2 linked regions of the Oryctolagus cuniculus genome follow. The protein of the gene in region 2 interacts with the protein of the main gene of each other region in a biochemical or structural test. Links are inferred from orthologs where the notes say so. Each region holds a gene or a part of one and is shown on either strand. Other genes may lie near its edges.

Evidence for each region.
Region 1: the proteins of CRY2 (region 2) and FBXL3 form a complex in vitro, tested with the Homo sapiens proteins (2 studies listed by BioGRID, with this or other methods). The link is inferred for Oryctolagus cuniculus from reciprocal best matches to the Homo sapiens genes CRY2 and FBXL3.

Annotation. Positions count from the first base shown.
Region 1 is NC_091440.1:35,444,635-35,454,991, reverse strand, and holds the start of FBXL3 (F-box/LRR-repeat protein 3), read right to left. Parts: upstream 6,432-10,357; 5' UTR 6,292-6,431; intron 6,244-6,291; exon of another isoform or gene 6,110-6,243; intron 5,870-6,109; exon of another isoform or gene 5,563-5,869; intron 571-5,562; 5' UTR 570-570; coding exon 222-569; intron 1-221. UniProt on the Homo sapiens protein: Substrate-recognition component of the SCF(FBXL3) E3 ubiquitin ligase complex involved in circadian rhythm function. Plays a key role in the maintenance of both the speed and the robustness of the circadian clock oscillation.
Region 2 is NC_091432.1:20,108,764-20,119,171, forward strand, and holds the start of CRY2 (cryptochrome-2), read right to left. Parts: upstream 6,475-10,408; 5' UTR 6,448-6,474; coding exon 6,224-6,447; intron 1-6,223. UniProt on the Homo sapiens protein: Transcriptional repressor which forms a core component of the circadian clock.

The sequences.
Region 1 (10,357 bases), on a different chromosome or scaffold from region 2:
TTTGCTCTTTCAAGAAGTTATTAATAATTAAAACTGAATAATTTAGCTCCATCAAATATCACAATTATTTTTGACTGCTTCTAAAGAATATAATAATTATAAATCTTCAAGTACCTTCCCCGAAAAGGCAGATATTTTAAAAACAGAGATGTATTGGTTTAGATCATAAAATCACAACATAAAGATGGTTTATTTTCTAAAAGAAGGAGTTGAAGTATTACCTTGAAGCTGACATACTGTAGATGGTTTGAGTGTCTTTTAATAATCTGTTTGATCAGCTCTGGATGGGTGGCTTTCAAATAAGATGTGGCTGGCTGATTCAGTTCAAATTCAAAACATCTCCACAAGTCAGGCATGTGAAATACCTGGTTCCAGCTGCGGCAAACTTGTGAAGCATGAGCCCGGTCAAGAAGAGGCAAATATTTAAACACATGGAGAATAATGTCCTGAAGGAGATTACCCCAATCACAAGTCTGAGAATGCTCATTTGTAGTCCTCAGTTTCTTGGATTTCTCTGCAGGACCTTCCTCTGATGAATTATGGTCACTCTCTCTTACTCCTCGTTTCATCCTGTTCAGAAAAATAAATCATTTTTTTCATTCTACCTAACTTTTGAATATACCCCCAAAACTCAATCTTCTGTCACTGAGATGTTTGTGTTTACATATACAAACATAAATATGCAGAACTGGACCAGGAATTCAAGGAGATTACCAAAACAAAAATACTGAAAAATACCAATGAAAACCAACAAAGGTTTTACAAATTCCCTACATTTTTGGCAGGTGTTTTCAAGCAGTTACCTTTATTCTGTACTACCCGGAGGGAAAATTTATTATTGCTTTGAAACTACACCAAGAATCTGTATCTCAAACACCATAATCAACTAACTCATTAGGGAACCTAAAATGGAATTTTCCAAAGGTTTCTTTTTCTTTTTTTTTTTTTTTAAAGATTGATTTAGTTTACTTGAAAGTCCCAGTTACAGAGAGGCAGAGAGAGAGGTCTTCCATCCGCTGGTACACTCTCCAGATTGCTGCAAAGGCCGGAGCTGTGCCGATCTGAAGCCAGGAGCCAGTTGCTTCCTCCAGGTCTCTCATGCGGGTGCAGGGGCCCAAGGACCTGGGCTATCCTGTACTGCTTTCCCAGGCCATAGCAGAGAGCTGGATTGGAAGTGGAGCACCGGCTCTCAAACAGGCACCCTTATGGGATGCCGGTACTGCAGGTGGCGGTTTTACCTGCTATGCCACAGCGTCAGCCCCTCCAAAGGTTTCTTAAAAGTCATCTGAGGATATCTGCTATATTTCAGTTCTTGATTTCAAGGCAAGCCAGGATCCCTAGGCATCTCCAGAGAGGCTGTGAATTAAGCAGGCAACAGATCTTGCCACATTGATTTGTCTGTGATATGTGTTACTGCTAGACTTTTCCAACTTTTGTTTAAAATAAACAAACCCATACCTACTACGCATTGTTTAGTCTTGTTTGTAGTTCTTTTTTTTTTTTTTTTTTTTTTTTGGACAGGCAGAGTTAGACAAAGAGAGAGAGACAGAGAGAGAGTTATAGACAGTGAGAGAGAGACAGAGACAAAGGTCTTCTTCCGTTGGTTCACTCCTCTAATGGCCACCATGGCCGGCGCTGCGCTGATCTGAGGCCAGGAACCGGGTGCTCCCTCCCAGTCTCCCATGCGGGTGCAGGGACCCAAGCACTTGGGCCATCCTCCACTGCCCTCCCGGGCCATAGCAGAGAGCTGGACTGGAAGAGGAGCAACCGGGACTAGTACCCAGCGCCCCAACCGGGACTAGAACCCGGGGTACCGGTGCCACAGACACATGGCCACATGTCACAGTGAGCCATGGTGCCAGCCTGTAGTTACTTCTAATGCATCACTTCCTATTGCAATGATTCCCCACTTTATTTCTTAATGACACTTACATGTTTATTTTGTGTATTCTTATTACCTTCAATTCACCTGTTTCCTTGAAAGATAACCTTTTCAAGGCCGAATAGCATTATGATTAAAGAAAACAGGTGGGGGAGGCTTTTTCATTGGCTATGTAGCCCTGAGTAAATCACTCAACTTTCCTGTGCTTGTTTGCAAAAGGGGAATAAGATAAGGTGTTCTTGTGAAAAATGAAATATTATGGTTATTAAAAGATGATTATTGAGGGGCCGAAGCTGTGGCGTAGTGGGTAAAGCCACCGCCTGCAGTGCCGGCATCCCATATGGGTGCCGGTTCGAGACCCGGCTGCTCCACTTCCTATCCAGCTCTCTGCTATGGCCTGGGAAAGCAGTGGAAGATGGCATAAGTCCTTGGGCCCCTGCACCCACATGGGAGACCCAGAAGAGGCTCCTGGCTTCGGATCGGCGCAGCGCCGGCCGTGGCCCACTTGGGGAATGAACCAATGGAAGGAAGACCTTTCTCTCTGTCTGTCTCACTGTCTATAACTCTACCTGTCAAAAAAAAAAAAAAAAAAAAAAAGATGATCACTGAACTCTACTGCAGAAAAGCAGTTTAGTATTAAAGAGTAAAACAGAGATTACCTACCAGAATGCAAAGAATGAGTCTCTTTTTTTTTTAAATGAGGTCTGTGGGTGTGTGTATGTGGGGGCAGAGAAGAGCTCAGGTAAAACCAAAAGTAGATTCACTAAATTATTAACTATTCCTGTTAATTTGTTTTTACAAAGCATTTCCTTTCTACATTTGACACATTTCTTTTAACATCAAGGCACTGCACTGTGGTAGTATTTTTTAAAAAGGATCTTGATTTGTTAGACAAGTACAGCAGATTCTAAACTGAAGTAACACCACATCCTTCACTGGTACTCGTATTTAGTTTAGAGCCCACTACTCTACAGAGTAGTTCGAGTGGGTAGAGTGTGGACCTAGACTTCGGTCAAAGCCTTTTGGAGGCTTTGCATCCTACCTCTTTTTTGGTACATCAGTGTATAAAAATGTCTAAATCCCATGTGGGATAAAGGATGTGCATGTGCATCGTTGTAAACCAAGTATGTCTCTAAGACTTTCTTCATCCAGTAGCTAGCAAAACTTGTGAGAGAGAATCAAGGGCTAAAGAGTAGAGAGTTAACAGCAGGCCCATGGGCCTTCATGCCATGAGCATCTATCCAGGAGATCTTAACACATGTACAATAAACTGTGTATTCGTCATCACTCCTACTTACAACCATGAATACAGTGAAGTAAAAACGCTGCCCATTCAGCAGGAGGAAAGGAAGGGAGAAAACAATAACAGAAGTGACAGCAAAAGGGTAGTTTTAAGGAATACAACTCCTCCACATTCTTTTCACTGTGTGTTTAGAAAAACAATAGTAGATTCTACAATGTAATCTTTTGTTATTAAGATTTATTCATTTGAAAAGCAGAATGAGAGGAAGAGAGAGATAAAGATATCCAGAATCTGTTGGCTCACAAGCCAGCTGGCTGCACCACCCAGGGCAAGGGCAGGCTGAAGCCAGGAACTAGGAACTCTTAACAGGGTCTACGTCTTGGGTGGAATGGATTCAAGGAATTGAGTCATTATCTGCTGCTTCTCAGACAGATTAGCAAGGAGCTGGATCAAAGTGGGATAGCCAGGACTTGAACCAGCACTCCAATATGCAATTGCAGTTATCCCAGGTAGCAGCTTGACACACAGTGCCACAACACCTGCCCATACAGTATCATCTTTCATATAAAAAAAACTCTCCTAACAACAGTGTCCTACTAGAGGTTGAAATAACCCAGTCATTATGACCCATTTTTATGCTTCATTTATTCTGAAGTTTTACTGTAGTTTTAGCATATACAAATGGATCATGAAACAAAGTTTGCCATCTAGGGCTTATAGTTTCTCTTCTGACTACCTAAAACTATTCAGAATTTTGACAGAGATTCAAAAAGAATGAAGCAGTACAACAAGATGCTAATCACCTGTTTCCCAGAGAAATGTGTTCTAAAACTAGAACTACTCAAAAACACAATTATTCATTTGACTTTGAAGTAGATGGAGATATAAAAAAAATAAAATGCCACAAAGTGGGTATTCACTCTAGCAAGTAAGATACGCACATCCCACATTAGAGTACCATAGGTTCAAAATCCAATTCTGGTTCCTGACTCCAGTTTCCCACCAATGCACACCCCAGAGGACAGTGGTGATGCCTCAAATAATTAGGTTACTGGCACCCACATGGGAGACCTGGATCGCAGGTCTGACTCCAGTCCTAGACCAACCCTGTGCATTAAAGGCATTCAAAGAGTGAATCAGCAGATGAGACTTTACTCTGTCTTTCTCTCTGCCTCTCAGATAAATAAAAACTTCAAAATAAATGACAGTCTTAGTCATGCAATAATTTTTGCTAATGCTTTATTGGTCCTACCAATAGAAGCCTTACTCTGTCTATTATTGTCCTATTTTGCAAGTAAATAAGGGGAAAAATCTGACATTTTGAAAAGTATGCAACACTAATGTACAGTAATCTGTTGATCTAGATATAAAAAGGCCAAATGATCATCAAAGCATTTTAAAGCACTTACTAGCTTATGAATGACTAAAAAAATTCTGGAAATCATCTATTATTACTGCAATATGGCATAATTACATACGGTAAGCACTGGAGAATAATGTAAGGTCAATTCCAATAAAGATGGTCTCTGTAATAGTCTTATTTATGAACAGAAGGTAATGTGTGGACACCTAATAAAACTTTCAAATGCCAATTTTTCCAAGGTGGTTTCATTTATTCACATAAAAATCTGTACTGCTTTCAAAAGTCCGTTAAATGTTTACAAATGAAGCTCGACTGAACAGAAAGTTAACCAATTCAGAGTACCCATCAGTCAACACATAATTTAATCAATGGTGTTGATATCTCCTACTTTTAGTCAAAGTGCAAGCACCCTCATATTTGAATACCAGGACCACACTGAACAACAAATGCCAATACGACTTCCTAGAGCACCAAAAGCACAACTCTATAAAGCTCAGGCAGTTTAATTTCCTGCAACGTTTCAGGGATCTCAATAATGCTGTTTTGACCGCCAGAGCTTTCAGCGAGAGGCTACTATCATTACAAAGTGCCAGAAAGCAAGTTAATGAGGACCGACTACATCCTGGCGGAGCTGCACAGGCAGCTGGTGAGCTAACTTGACAGTTCTGAAAACTATGGAAGCGGCAGTCAACTGGATCACCAGTTAAGAGAACAGCAGCTGGGTGTCTTTCCCTGCACCGCTATGTACACCGGACATGCAAGTCGCCTTAAAAGACCATTTGTATTTAGCTCTAAAGGCCCTGTTCGGACACCATCTTCTGCACCAACATCAATACTAATATGCAATCTTTGGCAGGGGTACAAGAATAAAACAAACCAAAGAGATTAACTCTCAGGACTGAATGGTACCGGGAAAGCATGGTGGCTAAAATTTACCCAGTGGTCATAAATAGATAACTGGCAGCCGACTGCAGTCTTCTAAAGTATTTCAGGGAAAGCTGGGGGAAGATTCGAACTCTAAGATCTGGGTCACCCGACCGGAACCATTAGCAACAAAACCACCACCTCTCTCACCTGTGTGCTTGGAGCTGCAGGCCAGTCGTTTACTGGGCTGCTTCCCGATCCCTGTCTGCAACCCGAGAGGCGGCCGCACGCGCCCAAAGCAGGCGCGACGCTGCTCAACCCAAGTTGACCAAGTTTTCCACTCGGCGACGCGGCGAGCGCGTCCCCGCCTCCCCGCACCACCTTCACGGACTGGCGCTCTCCGACGATTCCAGGCGCCCTACTCTGGAGGTGGCTTCTGCCATCTCAGGCTACCAGCAGCCGACAAGCCGGCCAGAGCGGAGCAGCGCGGTGCCGGACACCGCCCCCGCCCAGAGCCACAGCGCCGGGCGGAGTTGCCGCCCCAGCCGCGCACGCACCACGCCTTGTTGACATGTTTTGAAGCAGGCACCGCGGGGCAACGCCCCCAAGCAGGCTCCAGGGACTGGGTGCTGGGTGCTGCGCCCCGCGCCCCGCCCGGCACTCCCGCGGAGCGGCCCACGCGCGCCCGGGGCCCCGCGCCCCCGGCCCGTCCACAGCTGCTCCGCAGCCCCTCCCGGCCCCGCCCGTCCGCCGTTACCTGCTGTCGGGGGCGGCTTCCCCCACACACCACCCCCGGCTCCGGGGACGGCGGCCGCTGGTCCCGCGGCTCTCACATGAGGCCCCTGGGGCCCCCTGCTTCGCGCTCCCGCGGCCGCGGCCCCCCGTGCGACGCCCGCATCCGAGGCGCTGGTCCCCCGGCGGGCGCCAACGCGGCTCCACCTTTGCAAGTCTGGCTGCCCCGACGAGACGCCTTCCTTCTCAGCCCCGCGCTGTCTACGTCTCGGCCCCGGGACTCCCAGTCGCTGCCAGAGGCTCCCCGCTCAGCGAGCTGCAGCCGCCGCGTAGCTCTCCAGCTCTTCGGCCCAGACACCGAGTCCAAAATGGCGCCCGGGGCTCGCGGGCGCGCGCTTTCCCCGGCGCGTCCCCGCCCGAGGGGGCGGGCGCGTGTCCGCGGCGGAGGGGGCGGGGCGCGGAGGAAGCCCCGCCTGGGCGAGAGCGCGCGCCGCGCGGCGTCCGCCTCCCGGTTCCCCAAGGGGCCGCGGCTCTGGCTGTGAGGGGACGTCTTGTTTGGGAGTGCAATGTGGGCAGGCTGGCGTTAGCTCGACGCGGTTCAGACTGGAAAGTGTAAGGAGGTGGAGCAGCCAAAAGCAGGAGGGCGTGTCCCAGGAGCGTGGGGCACTCCGGGCCGCGGGACGGTGGACAGTCGCCGGCGGCAGCGACACCCCTCCGCTCCTGCGGGGGTCAGCACGGGCCCCAGTGGAGCCGGGCATCAGACCTACAGATGTAGTGGCGGAAAGATTGCAAGGACGCTGGGATTACAGATAGTTTTCAAAACACTCGTGATTCCCGATTTTCCTAAAGTCTTTATCAACCGAGTTACTACTCTCGTGAGAAACCACCTTTCCTTCATGAAGTAGAGAGCCTCCTGAAATGTGTAGAGAGAGACACAGAGGGGAAAGTGTAACGCCTGGCTATGTAAGAGATGGCCCGTAGGGAAGCCTTTTGGAAATCAAATCCTGTGCGTCCCTGACACCCAGTTAGCTTGTTTGCAGAGTTCGACTGGATGCTAGCAGGCTTTCTTAAAGCTGGAAGGTGCACTGCGGTAATTTGAGTCACTCACCATCCCTCACCCTAAAAAACAATAAAAGAAACAAGACGTCATTTTCCATCCAGAGATGCCTTCTAACTCTGATTCATGGGCAGTAGACTGGAAGGTAGAGGTATCTTGGGAGCCCTTCACTGTTCCTCTTCCCCAAAAGTATAAAACCAGGAAGCCATATGTAAAGTGACATTAAGAGTCAATGTTGGGAAATGCCAGTGCTTTTTTCTTTTTTTTTTTTTTTTAAGATTTATTTTTCATTTATTTGGAAGACAAAGTTACAGAGAGGAGGAGAGACAGAGAAAGAAAGAGATCTTTTTCTATCCACTGGTTCACTCCCCAAATGGCTGCAAGGGCCAGGAGGAAGCCAGGGGGCAGTAGCTTCATCCAGGTCTCCCACACAGGTGCAGGGGCCCAAGCACTGGGGCCATCTTCTGCTGCTTTCCCAGGCACATTAGCAGGGAACTGGGATTGGAAGTTGAGCAGCCAGGACTTGAACCAGGCCTATCTCAGGTGACAGTAGGAGGCTTAACCTGTTAGGCCACAACACTGGAGTTTCCTGCTCCTTTTTTTTTTTTTTTTTTTTTTTTTTAAGCCTAGCTATCAGATGGCCAAATCAAATTGCACAGACAGCTTCTAACAACCTAATAATGTGGATGTACCTGAACTGCCACATTTTTTTAGGTCCCTCAATGACTGAATGGTGAGGGACAATAGGACATTCTAAGAAAGGTAATGATAATATTAGAGGAAGAAAAACAAGCCCATCTACTTAAAGGGGGGTTGAGAGTGTTTATGACTGGGGCCGGTGTTGTGGCTTAGCAGTAATCCACAGCCTGCAATGCTGGCATCCCATATGGGTGTTGGTTCAAGTCCTAGCTTCCTACTAATGGCCTGGGAAAAGCATAGGCGGATGGCGCCAAGTGCTTGGGAGATCCAGAGACCCAGATGGACCTCCTCCTGGCTTGGAACTGGCCCAGCCCTGACAATTGCTACTACCTGGGGAGCGAATCAAATAAATAAATCTCTTTTGTTTAATTAAAAATATGATCAACAAAGCAACTAAATCAGCAAACTTGATTAGTGCATGTTACATCACATTAATATTTTATCATACTCTAATCAGAGTCCCGTCACAATTTTCTTTTAAAGGAGACAAGGATCTTGGCACACTTTACCTATTGAATGCCTCCTCTTCCCTGTTACTATTAACTAAAGATTTTATTTCACTTTTTTTTTTTTTTTCATTTGAGAGGTAGAGTTACACAGAGAGGGATAGAGAGGAAGGTCTTCCATCTGCTGGTTCACTCCCCAAATGATCACAATTGCCGGAGCTGGGCTTATCTGAAGCCAGAAGCCACGAGCCAGGAGCTTCTTCCAAGTCTCCCAAGTGGGTGCAGGGCCCTAAGCATTTGGGCCATCTTCTGATGCTTTCCCTGGCCATAGCAGAGAGCTGGATAGGAAGTGGAACAACCAGAACATGAACTGTCGCCCATATGTGATGCCAGTGCCGCAGGTAGAGGCTTAGCCTATTACACCACAGTGCCAGCCCCTTTCACTTTTTTTTTTTTTTTTGACAGGCAGAGTGGACAGTGAGAGAGAGAGACAGAGAGAAAGGTCTTCCTTTTGCCGTTGGTTCACCCTCCAATGGCCGCCGCTGCAGCCGGCGCACCACGCTGATCCGATGGCAGGAGCCAGGATCCAGGTGCTTTTCCTGGTCTCCCATGGGGTGCAGGGCCCAAGCACCTGGGCCATCCTCCACTGCACTCCCTGGCCATAGCAGAGAGCTGGCCTGGAAGAGGGGCAACCGGGACAGAATCCGGCGCCCCGACCGGGACTAGAACCCGGTGTGCCGGCGCCGCAAGGTGGAGGATTAGCCTATTGAGCCACGGCGCCGGCCGGCCTTTCACTTCTTTTTTAAACAAGAAATGTATTTGGAGGCAGGCATTGTGGGGTAGTGATATAGATTAAGCTGCTCCTTAAGATCCCAAATCCCATATTGGATTTCGGGTTTGAGTCCCAGCTGCTCAAATTCTGATCCAGCTTCCTGCTAATGTGCTCATAACAACAGGGCTAGGGCCCCTGCTAACCACATGGGAAACCCTGATGGAGTTCTGAGCTCCTAGAGTCAGCCTGGCCCAGCCCTGACTACTGCAGGCATTAGTATAGTGAACCAGTGGATGGAAAATTGATCTCTCTCCTTTTCAAGTACCTGAAAATAAATTTTATAAGGAAATATACTTATTTTTCCATCAGCCACTACTTATTTCCAATTATCAATTAATATTAATATTAGTCAAGATCAGTTGCCTGGGGCAGGGGTGGGGTAGGGTAGAGGGTAGCATTGGAGCAGGTTAATACAGTGGGGAAGATATTATAGAACCTGGTAAGAATTGCCAGTGCCTGTGATAATGAAGAGCAGATCAACCATTAGTCAGCTTTATTATTGCTTTTAAGTCCTTAGTAGTAGACCTCCTCCACCAAGGGCATATCACTCCCACAACCACCTCCCATCATGGTACACCAGTAATCAGGATAGATTAAAGTAATGTAGTGATTTCTCAAAACACTAACCTGAAATTCCTTTTTTTAAAATGGCATAATTTTTGAAGTACTGCTGCAGTATTCTTTAGTATTTTGCAGTGTTTTGGGATTGGTCTCATGTTTTTCTGGTGACTAGGCTTGGATTATTGACGTTTGGGAGGAAACCACAAAGGTATAAAGTCCCATTCACATCATATCATATCAAGAGTATGTCTATCAACATGACTTATTCCTACTGATACCAACATTAATTAAATGTTGAGGTCAAGTTGCTCTACTGAAATCTTTTTCTTTTCTCCTTTCTGTATGGTACTCTTTGGAAGGAAGTCACTACATACGGTCAACACTGAAAGGGTGGGATATTATGTTCCATCTTCTTTGGGCAGAGGTGTTTCACAAATTATTTGGAATTTTTCTACCATGATAGATCTACCTCTGTATCTCTTAATTTCATATTATTAATGTCTTTTTTTCTGTCTTTACAATTTTCTCTGAACTGTCTTCCAAGTCACTATTTCTCTCTTAAGTTCTGTTTAGTCTCTGCTAAGCAAATCTTTGCCTGATTTTTATTTATAAATGCTTTTTTTTAGTGAATTTTTGTTTATTCATTTTTATTTGAAAGGCACAGAGGCAGAGACAGAG
Region 2 (10,408 bases):
CAAGGTGGGGACGCCCAGGAAACGCAGGCTCCCCTACAGGGAGAAGCCGCCTCCGCAGGGCTCCATTTCTCAGCCTCTCTTACTAAAAGGAGGCGATGTGGGCAGGCACAGAGGTTAAAATTGATCAGATTTGTGAGCTGGAAGACCACGCCCCTGTCTGATCCCATGCCCCTACCTGACCACACCTGTGCGCCCACCTGCCAATCAGCCTAGTTAACCACTCCCCTTTGGACATGGATTAAAAGCCTGGAGCACTGTGGGCCCAGCCCCTTCTTTTTCCTCCCTACCCTGGATCCCCTTGCTGCCCTGCGCCTGCGCCTGCGGGCGCGTGGCCTGCGAGCCACGGCTCCGTGCTTTCCAGCTGCACGCTCCTCGTGGCTGGCTTTGGCCTGCTCTCTACTCAGTATGAATCCAGATTTCCCTTTCTCTCTTAGATAGAGCCCCCACTCTCCTATGCACTTCTCTCACTAAATAAACAGCTTAAAAACCTACCATGCTGCCTGGTTTGTTTGTGCCAGTATTCAGAAATCCCTGAATGCGTGACAAGAGCCCACACAGCTTATTAATGTGTAAATACTAATGGGTGAATCGGTCTCAGAGGGGCTCTCTGCAGTATCTCCAAGGTCCAGAGAACCTACGGGTCTTTCTCTTGATAGCAAGAGATGTCCGGGGCTGGTGCTGTGGCACAACGGATAAAGCCACACCTGCAATGCTGGCATCCCATATGGGCGCCAGTTCAAGTTCTGGCTGCTCTACTTCCAATCCAGCTCTCTGCTATGGCCTGGGAAGGCAGTAGAAGTTGGCCCAAGTCCTTGGGCCCCTGCACCCGCATGGGAAACTCAGAAGAAGCTCCTGGATCCTGGCTTTGGATTGGCACAGCTCTGGCCGTTGTGGTCAATTGGGGAGTGAACCAGCAGATGGAAGACGTCTCTCTCTCTATGTAACTCTCTCAAATAAATAAATAAATCTTTTAAAAGAGAGAGAGAGAGAGAGAGATGTCCACAGAGGCTCAACTCTAAACCCAGCAAAGAGACAATAACAATGGTAACAGCAGCACCAAGGACCACGCGGTGTCGACAACGAGCCAGCACCGTCCGGCGTGCTTCGCACACACCCCCTCCCTTCATTCTCGAACAGCCCTAGGAAGTAAGCGCCATCGCCCCCAGTCTCATCTTTCACAGGAGGAAACCGAGGCACGGAGAGATTCAGCAACTCGCTCCATATCGTCTACCCACGTGGACAGAACCGAAGCCCGGGCGACCCGTGCGGCTCCGCACGGCTGCCCTGACAGCACCTCGGCTGCGTGTCAGCTGTCAGTCACCTGGGAGCTCGCCTGGCCAAAGCAGCTGCATTTCAGCAAGACCCTCGCTGAGTCCCGTGCACAGGGAAATTTCTCTAGTGAACTTGCAGACGGCCTGGCTCCTGCCCCCTCCTCAGCCCTCTGGAAAACCTCTGCTCCTTGCACCCTCCCACCAGAGTCAAGCCTCCAGGCGGGAGAGAACGACTGACCCTGACCGGCCCAGCCAGGTGATGGCTTTGCATAGCACCCCAGCAGCGGGCAGGCGGCGCACTCCTGCACTGCAGAGAGGGCTCACTCATTCCCTCCCGCGCTCCCTTGGGGCCCGCCTCCCCTGCACGTGGTCCGTCTCTCTGCCCTCCAATGAGTGCCGGCCGGGGCATTGGCGCTGGCAGTGTTGGAGGCTGGCCCCTCGCCCTCGGCAGCTCCGGGCTGAGCTCACATGGCCGAGGTTCCGAGCACACGGTCCTGAGCGAGCCGTTAAAGCTCTCTCTTTGAATTAGACAACATGTGCAAGTGAATCACATTACATAAGCACTTTGCAGCCGGAGGCGCCCAGAGCTGGAGAGGACCAAAATGGGATTTCCAAAAATACAGAGAGGATGCTGTAATTCAGAGTCCACGAGGCTGGCCCTTTAGAATAAAACGGGCAGGGACTTCGGTTAAGGACTTGTGTTGTGAGGGAAGGCTGGTCAGCCTTGGAAAAGGTGTTGTTTGTTGTGCACGGGGGCAGGGAGATGATAGTGAACCCTTCTTTGGATCCACAGTGCCCTTGACCAAGTTTCTCTGCCTCGAGCCAAGGTCAGCTAACCAGGCTGATGATGTCACCAGCCAGCACGGGCTGACTGCGCAGCATATTAATAGAAATTAATTTTCTTCTGATTACGAGAGCCTAAGCCCCGTGGAAAAGGATAACCTCAACTCAATCCACACAGGGATCAAATTCTACGCGATAAAAGTGTATTTGCTTTCTCCTAATCTGGGAGAAAGATGAAGAGGGTTTCCATCCTTCTAAGCAAATGGAAACATTCCTTGGGCAGCAGTGGAAAAGCCCCTGGGCCGTGCACCGGGGGAGGGGGGCGTGGGGAAACTCCATCTCCCCACCAGCAGACTCCAGCTCTCAACCCCCCACTCACCAAGTTCCCCGGGCGGACCACCCACAAGCACCACCCACAGCCCTTCAGCCACTGGGCAAGAGGCCATGCTGGTGCTGGCCAGGCACCCTGCAGAGAGCCCCAGCCTAGTGCATTACGACTGAGAACAAATGTTCTCTTTCTCCCGACTCCCTCTGTCCCTGAAGGGTCTGAAAGAGGCGTAGCGCCTGAGACAAGGACAAAACGATCTACAGGAAGTGTGAAAATCCTTGCCAATACCTATCGAAATGGCCACAGGGAGAGGAAGGGTGTGAGAAACTCCAAGGGCCTATTTTAAGTAACTCCTATTTTAAAACCTAGAAGCTGCACACATGTGCCCTTGGTTCTGCTTCTCCCTATAGAGCCTCCTTCCAGACGCAGCCAACCTGGGGAAGGTGCGGCTGGGGAGGATGACCAAGGGTATACCAGTTGGTGCTTGAGAACAACACATTCCGGAGGCAACCCAGAAACGTCCCAGTATCACCAGGGCAAGGAGTGTGCTAGCTTTCTCCTGTGCCAACCAACAGATGTGTTTCTTGGTTGCCTTTTCTCTGTCCTCGTCTGCTCTGACAAAGTGCCATTCCTAGGAGGCACACGTGGCACGGCGGGTTAAGCCGCCGCCTGGGCTGCCCACATCCCAAGTAGCCAGTGCCGGGTTGAGTCCTGGCCGCTACCTGATTTCAATCCATCTTTCTGCTGATGCATCCTGGGAGGCAGCAGGTGCTGGCCCAAGTGCTTGGACTCCTGTTGCCAACATGGAGACCCAGATGCTGTTCCTGGCTCCCTGCTCTGGCCTGGTTCAAACCCAGCTGACACAGGCGCGGGGGAGGGGGACAGTGAACCAGTGAGTGGAAGATTTCTCTCAAGTCTGCTTATCATATAAATAAATACAAATCTGAGCAAAAAGAAAGTGCCATTCATAGCTATTTTCATCTGCCTCCCTCTGCAGATGAAGGCTGTACGTGAGTCAGCGTAGGATGTGTAGGAGCGTAACAGAGCTCACAGGTTTGGATGCCCCCACCCTTCCCGGAGATGCCTCTCAGCGGCACAATGCCAGGATCCAGGAAGCCCACAGGAAGATTACCGCCCCGGAGCTTGCCAGAGGCGCAGAGGCACAGCGGGCCGGCACAAGTCCCCCCACCTCCAGCCACCCAGCCACGTGCAGGAGACAGCCTGCAGGCGGGGTGGAAGGCGCCCAGCAGCAGCTATCAGATTCGATCTGTTTGGTGGTATTTCACCTCTTTCTTGCGGAATGCGAATGCAAATACTAATTAGACTTCCTGCCACGGGGCACTGCCACACGGCACTGCCAGGCCGCATCCCAGGTGGCCACTCTGGTCTGCTGTTCTCTAGCTCGGGGTTTCTCAAGCTTTACTGAGAGCTTACAAGACCCTAATGCCCAAACCATAGGCCCAGGCCAGTCCCATCAGAATCGGGCAGGGGGCAGGGGGCTCCAGGCAGCATTTAAAGATCCTTATGAGATTCGACTGTGCAGCCAAGATGGAGAACTGCGGCTCTGGTCTGCCCCTCCCCGCGCCCCTATTTCATTTTTCTTACAGAAGTAGTTCTACCAAACTGGGGTTATTTCCACGTCCTCAACTAAAACGCGGCCCCGGGAATCCTGCGGCACTGCCATGCATCAGCTTAGTCCCCGCTGCACCCCGGCAGCACCCAGAGCAGCACCTGGAACCTACTAAGCACTCACTAAATAATCCCTCTCGGAATAGCTACATCCCTGTGTGGCCTCTGACTTCCGGATGTCACTCAGGCACCTGAGCTGCCACCCTCCTTTGCCCCCGCACTCCCTTGAGAGCACAGTTACAAAAGGGTGACCTACAAAAATCCATAAACACCTCGTTTCTAGCAGATGCAGTTTAATCAGCAACCGTGTTTTTGTTGTTGATTTTTACTTCCCCAATGCTACAAAGGAGTAAGCAGGCCTAAGCCATGTCTCTCCCTCCCCCTCCAAAAAATTCCATAAAAGAAACTCCTTTATGACAAGGTAACAAGTGGCTCCTATTCTATTTACTCTGCTCTGGTTGGCACACTGCCACGGGGAGGACAAAGTCTGAGGCTTGATTTAATGTCCACACTGGAGACGGTCATTTGAGGATGTTTGTCAAAGCCGGCCTCCTATCTATAGAAAGTGGAGCAGAGCTGGAGCAATAGTGCAGCTGAAAACAGTGTGGGCAGACTCTCCCACGACTATCTTTAGTTGTTCCTGCTACACACCGGGCAGGGGGGAGCATTTAATAGACCGACTGCCACGAGCGCTCTCTCCTCGCAGGGCACACACCTTGGAGAGGAAAGAATGGTGTGCCGAGAGCCCATGGTCTCCTGGGAACAACTCAGCCCATCTGGGCAGTGTGGCCACAAGCAAACATCCCCCAGATCAATGCAAATAAACCAAGCACCTGCCCCTGGTGTCTGAGGGTGATGGGTATGTGGGTATCAAACTCCTTGGTTCTGAACACAGCTTACAGCCAAAAAAATAACCCCCAGGATCCGCAGGGGGTGAAGCTGCCCCTTGGGTTCCCCACATCCCACGTCGGGGTAGGGAACGAGCAACCCGCGGGCCAGATAAGGCCCCTGAAATCATTTGGTCTGGCCCTGCCAAAGCAACCACAGATGGGACTTGAAATTCAATAAACCCATAGCAGGCTCATTTTACAGTTGATCATTTTGTTGGCTCACAAATGATGTTCTAAATATCCAAACGGCCTTTGGCAGAAAAAAAGCTCGCGACCCCACTGCTGGTTCCAGCCCTGGGGGCTCTGCTTCTGATCCAGCTCCCTGCTGATGCACCTGGGGAGGCAGCAGAGGGGGGCTCAGGCGCTTGGCCCCTGCCGTAGATACTCGGGAGACCAGGATAGAGTTCCTGGCTTCTGACTTCATCATGGCACGTCCCCAGCTGTTGCAACCATTTGGGGAGTCAACCAACGGATGGAAGACCTCTCTCTCTCTTGCCCTGCCTTTCAAATGAGTAAATATATAATATATATATTTTTAATTAAAGAAAAAATACTCCAACTATCGACTTGTTAACCCTTCCCAGGATCCTGTCAGCCCCGCCTCCTGGAATAGATGGGGAACTCCGACACTGTGGCATCCCGGGTCCCTATGCGGAACGGGGCACATCAGTCCATGAGAGAGCCGTCTACAGTGGCTCGCAGGTCCTTCTAACTCAACCAGGAGGAGGGGGAGGTGCTGTCTTGGGTTCCTGTCTAATTTTGCCAGCGAGGTCATGGCCGCTGAGAGGGCTCCCCAACACGGCTACGAACTGCTCTGGGGCTCTCGGGACACGGAGTCTCCCCACAGACGCCCTCGGGGTCCTCAGCCAGGACTCGCGGGAGGAGACCTTATCAATTCTAAGCGAGGGTCTCCAGACACCTCCAGAGGCTGGGCAGTGTGGGTGGAGGGAAGCCAGGGTGGCCGAGAGGGCGGATTCCAACAGTTTAGGACCCGCAAAGGCGAGTGTTAGAGACCCGCTGGGCTCCCTGCACGGGCATTCCCTACACCTGGAGACCTCGTCCTGCCGCGCCCGGCAACACCTGGGCAGGTCAACTTTGCGCCGTCAGGGTTCAAGCGCCTGCTCCGTGCCGTGGGGGTCCTGGGGTGCGGGGGTCCGGCGCTCGGAGGGAGGTGCGGCCCTGGCCCACCGCGCGCACCAGCACGCTGACCACGTTCCCTGGCCCCGGCTTCCCGCCTCCGGGGAGCCTGCGCCGTGCCCCTGCCCCAGCTGCCGCGGGCCGGGGGCGCTCGGCTGCGTCCTAACCGCTCGGGGTCTCCTCACCTCCATCGGTTGATCCCCACGGAGGAGGAGGCCGCGAACCAGGGGTCGAGGATGTACACGCAGCGCACGCAGCGAGCCCCGCGCACGGCCGCCAGCAGCGCCGGGTTGTCGTGGAGCCGCAGCCCTTTGCGGAACCAGTGTACCGAGGAGGCGCCATTCGCGCTGGCCGCCGGCGCGGGGACCGCCGCCGCCGCAGGACCCACTGCCGCCGCCGCCGCCGCCATCACAGCTCAGACTGCCGGAGCCACCGCCGCTCCGCCCCCGGCGGCGCCGCGAGCCCCGCCCACAGCCCGCCCTCTGACCTATGACGAAACCGCTGTTTGCTATGGCCCCGCCCCACAGTGGACCGCGGAGCGCCTCCGTCATTGGCTGGGCGCCTCCAGCCCGGCGATTGGCCCGGCAGCGCAGGATCCGGCCCCGCCCCCTCACGTTCCCGCCATGTGTCGTCCCCGCCCGCTAAGAGCCGGCCGGCTGGGCGAGTGACGCAGGCTGGCTGAGGCCTGGGGCGTGGCCTCAGGCTGGAGGGACTGCGGGTTCCCTTACGCGGGTCCTGTTCAGGGCCGCCTCTGGAAACAGCTGCTGGAGCTGGCGGAGGGTGCCGAGATACCAGACAGCGCCTTGCAGGACTGACAGCCTGCCTGCCTTGTCACCATCGGCATCGTCGCCACCCGGGTCGTCGGAATACGGCTGGCACCCGCTGAGTGCGGAGCAAAGACTGTCTCATTTGCTGCTCTCAAGTCTGCCCTGTCACTCCATAAAGCTATGGAACAGCGCTGTCGTCCCCATTTTGTCTTTAAAGGTCTGTTTATTTATTTGAAGGCAGCTAGGGTGTCTCCCATCCAGCGAGTCACTCGCCAAATGAGCGCAATGGCCAGGGCTGGGCCAGTCTGAAGCCAGGAGCCGGAAACTCCGTCCTGGTCTCCCCCCTGGGTTACAAAGCCCAAGCACTTGGGCCATCTTCCACTGCTTTCCCAGGCACCTTAGCAGAGAGCTGGATCCGAAGTGGAGCAGCTGGGACTCCAACCAGTATACAGCACGGGCCCTCAGTCCCATTTTAAAGATGAGGAAAGCAGAGGCGTTGCAGGTTGAATGACTTGCTTAGTATCATAAAGCTAATAAGAGGATCCCACCCATTTGATTCTGATCTCAAAGCATCTGCTCTTAACCCACGGAGCTATACTGCTGTCTGTGCCGAAATCCTTGGCATTTGCAAGTGGCAGGGTGCAACATGGGGAGAGTGCCCAGCCGTGCAGCAGTGTGAGGACTGGAGGCCGTGGGCTCAGATAGTAATGAGGCTGCCGGACAAATTTGTCTGACCACCGGGTCTGCTCAGGATAGCAGCGCTGTCCTGGGTCCCTGTGTAGCAGCGACAAAGTGTTGATGGTGGGCCAAGACGGCCCGGGCAGGCGGTAGCTCTGGGGTCAGGAGGCAGAGGACGGTCAGTTTCAGCTTGGCTGCAGGCTGAGCCCATGCTTGGAATGTTTCCTGAACTTGAGAATGAGCAACTGAGCCCAGGCTTGGAGCCTTTCCTGGACTTGAGAATGAGCTACGCAAGAATTTAACAGCTTGGTTGCATTGATTGGCACCACCCAGCGTCCCTGCAGTCCTAGGCTCTCTCTCACTTCCAGGGCTTTGCACAAGCTGTCCCCGCAGCCTAGCTCACACGCCCTGTCCCTCCCCACTTCTTAACTTCCGTTTGCCCTGTGTCACTGGCTCTGTACAGATGTCACCTTCTTGCGATGTGTCCCATCTCAGTCTGTGCCACTTTCCATCACCGGCCATTAGCGCATGGGTCTGGGATTTCTTGCTTCCTTGTCTGTCTGTCCCATTAGACTATAAACTCCCGGAGGGTAGGAGCCCTGGTTTACTGGCAGTCCTAGTTCCAAAGTCCAGCACTGTGCTTGGTGCTTAACGCTCACAGAGTGTTTGAGTAAAAATTGAACAGGTCCCGCAGTCTCAGCTTGGCAGGGACCTTCAAGGTCTAACCCTGGCCCGGTCCTGGCCCCGTCCTGACTTTGAACCCCCTCTCCGCCTGCTTCCTGAGTAGATACTGCCCCTCAGGAGTTTTCCCATGAAGCTCTGTGTGTCTGCCTCTCCTGCCTCCCCTTCTCTCCACAGGCCTGGTGCTCTGCTAAGGATGAACAGGGCCTGTGGGCACCTGGTTCTAGAGTTACAGAGAGGCAGAGAGAGAGAGAGAGAGAGAGAGAGAGAGAGAGGCCTTCCATCTTCTGATTCACTCCCCAAATGGCCGCAATGGTTGGGTAGAGCCAGGTCAAAGCCAGGAGCCAGGAGCTTCTTCTGGGTCTCCCACGTGGGTGATCCTCTGCTGCTTTCCCAGGTGCATTAGCAGGGAGCTGGGTGGGAAGTGGAGCAGCTTGCGCCTCTATGGGCTGCTGGTGTCACAGGTGGCAACTTTACCAACTACACCACAACACCCACCCCTGTTCTCCACTTTCTTAGTCTGTGTGATAGGGAGGGTAGCAGTACCTGCGCCAGAGGAAGTGTCCTTATACACAGTTGTCAGTGGCTGTTCTGAACAGCAGGATGTGTGTCTGATTTTGTATTCCTTGCAATACCAAGTCTGGATCTTACACGCTCAATAATTTGCTAAGTGAATAAAAGATTTTGCTTATTTTTAAATAAAAAGGAAGACTTGGGACCTGAACTGTGGCGCAGCAGGTAAAGCTGACACCTGCAGTGCCGGCACCCTGGCTGCTCCTCTTCTGATCCAGCTCTCTGCTCTGGCCTGGGAAAGCAGTAGAAGATGGCTCAAGTCCTTGGGCCCCTGCACCCACATGGGAGACCAGGAAGAAGCTTCTGGCTCCTGGCTTCAGATGGGTGCAGTTCCTGCCATTGAGGCCAATTGGGGAGTGAACCAGCAGATGGAAGACCTCTCTCTCTGCCTCTCTTTCTCTCTCTGTATAACTCTGACTTTCAAATAAATAAATAAATCTTTAAAAAAATAAAAAGGAAGACTGATGGCCCCAATCCTAACCAATTATTGCCTATCTCCACGTTGCCCTCTACGCTTTCTCCACACACATCGGGTTTTGGAGTTGTCGTGGGGCACAGGTGTAGAGTGGCCTTACCTCTTGTTTTGCAGCACCGTGTCTGTTTTGCTGAGTCACTGTGTTTGTTATTTGTGGTTTGTACTATCTTCAAATTGCTGCAGATGAATTGTTTTATTGAGGAACTTCACACTGTTTGGTGATGTCAACAAGGCAACCTTGGAGAATCAGGACGGGAATCTAGCATTGGGTAGAGTCCTGGAGCGCAAAGTCCGCTTTCGCTTTTACACTTGAAAACAAGCAGAGAGGCCCTGGCACGTGGCGCAGCACTCAGGACTCTGCCTGGGCTGCCCACTGCTCTTACAGGACTTCTGAGTGCCGGCTCCAGTTCCAGCGTCCTGCAGGTGCGCACCCTGGGAGGCAGCAGATGATGGCCCCAGCACTGGAATGCCTGCCACCCACATGGGATACCACATGCAGTTCCTGGCTCCTGGCTTCGACCTGGCCCAATCCAGGCTGTTGTGCACATTTGGGTCATTTGGGGAGTGAACCAGCAGATGGATAGAAGATGTCTTTTTTTTTTTTTTAAGATGTATTTATTTATTTGAAAGGCAGAGTTACAAGAAAGAGAGAAGGAGGAAGAGACACACAGAGAGATCTTCCATCTGCTGGTTCACTCCCCATATGGCCAAAAGGGCATGAGCTGGGCTGATCCGAAGCCAGGAGTCAGGAGCTTCTTCCAGGTCTCCCACGTAGGTGCAGGGGCCTAAACACTGGGGTCGTCTTCCATTACCTTAAACTAGGCGCATTAGCAGGGAGCTGGATGGGAAGTGGAGCAGCCGGGCTCGAACGGGAGTCTGTATGCCAGTGCAACAAGCGGCTAAGCTCTGGATAGAAGATTCTTCTCTCTCTCTCTCTCTCTCTCTGCCTTTAAAATAATTTGTAAAGGGTCATAGGGAAATTGGAGAGAACAAAGGCACTCGCAAATTGCTAAGAAGGCGAACGGTAACTGGGTATTATCTCTCGGTGAGAAATGAGAGCTGACGACTCGGTAACTGTGCACCTCGTTATATAAAAGCACCTGTGAATAGAGGTTACCACGAGGATTGCAAAGGGCTGTTCCTCTTTTCCGCTACAGGTGGCACAAAAGCACCTGTCGCAAACTGGCAGAGGAAGG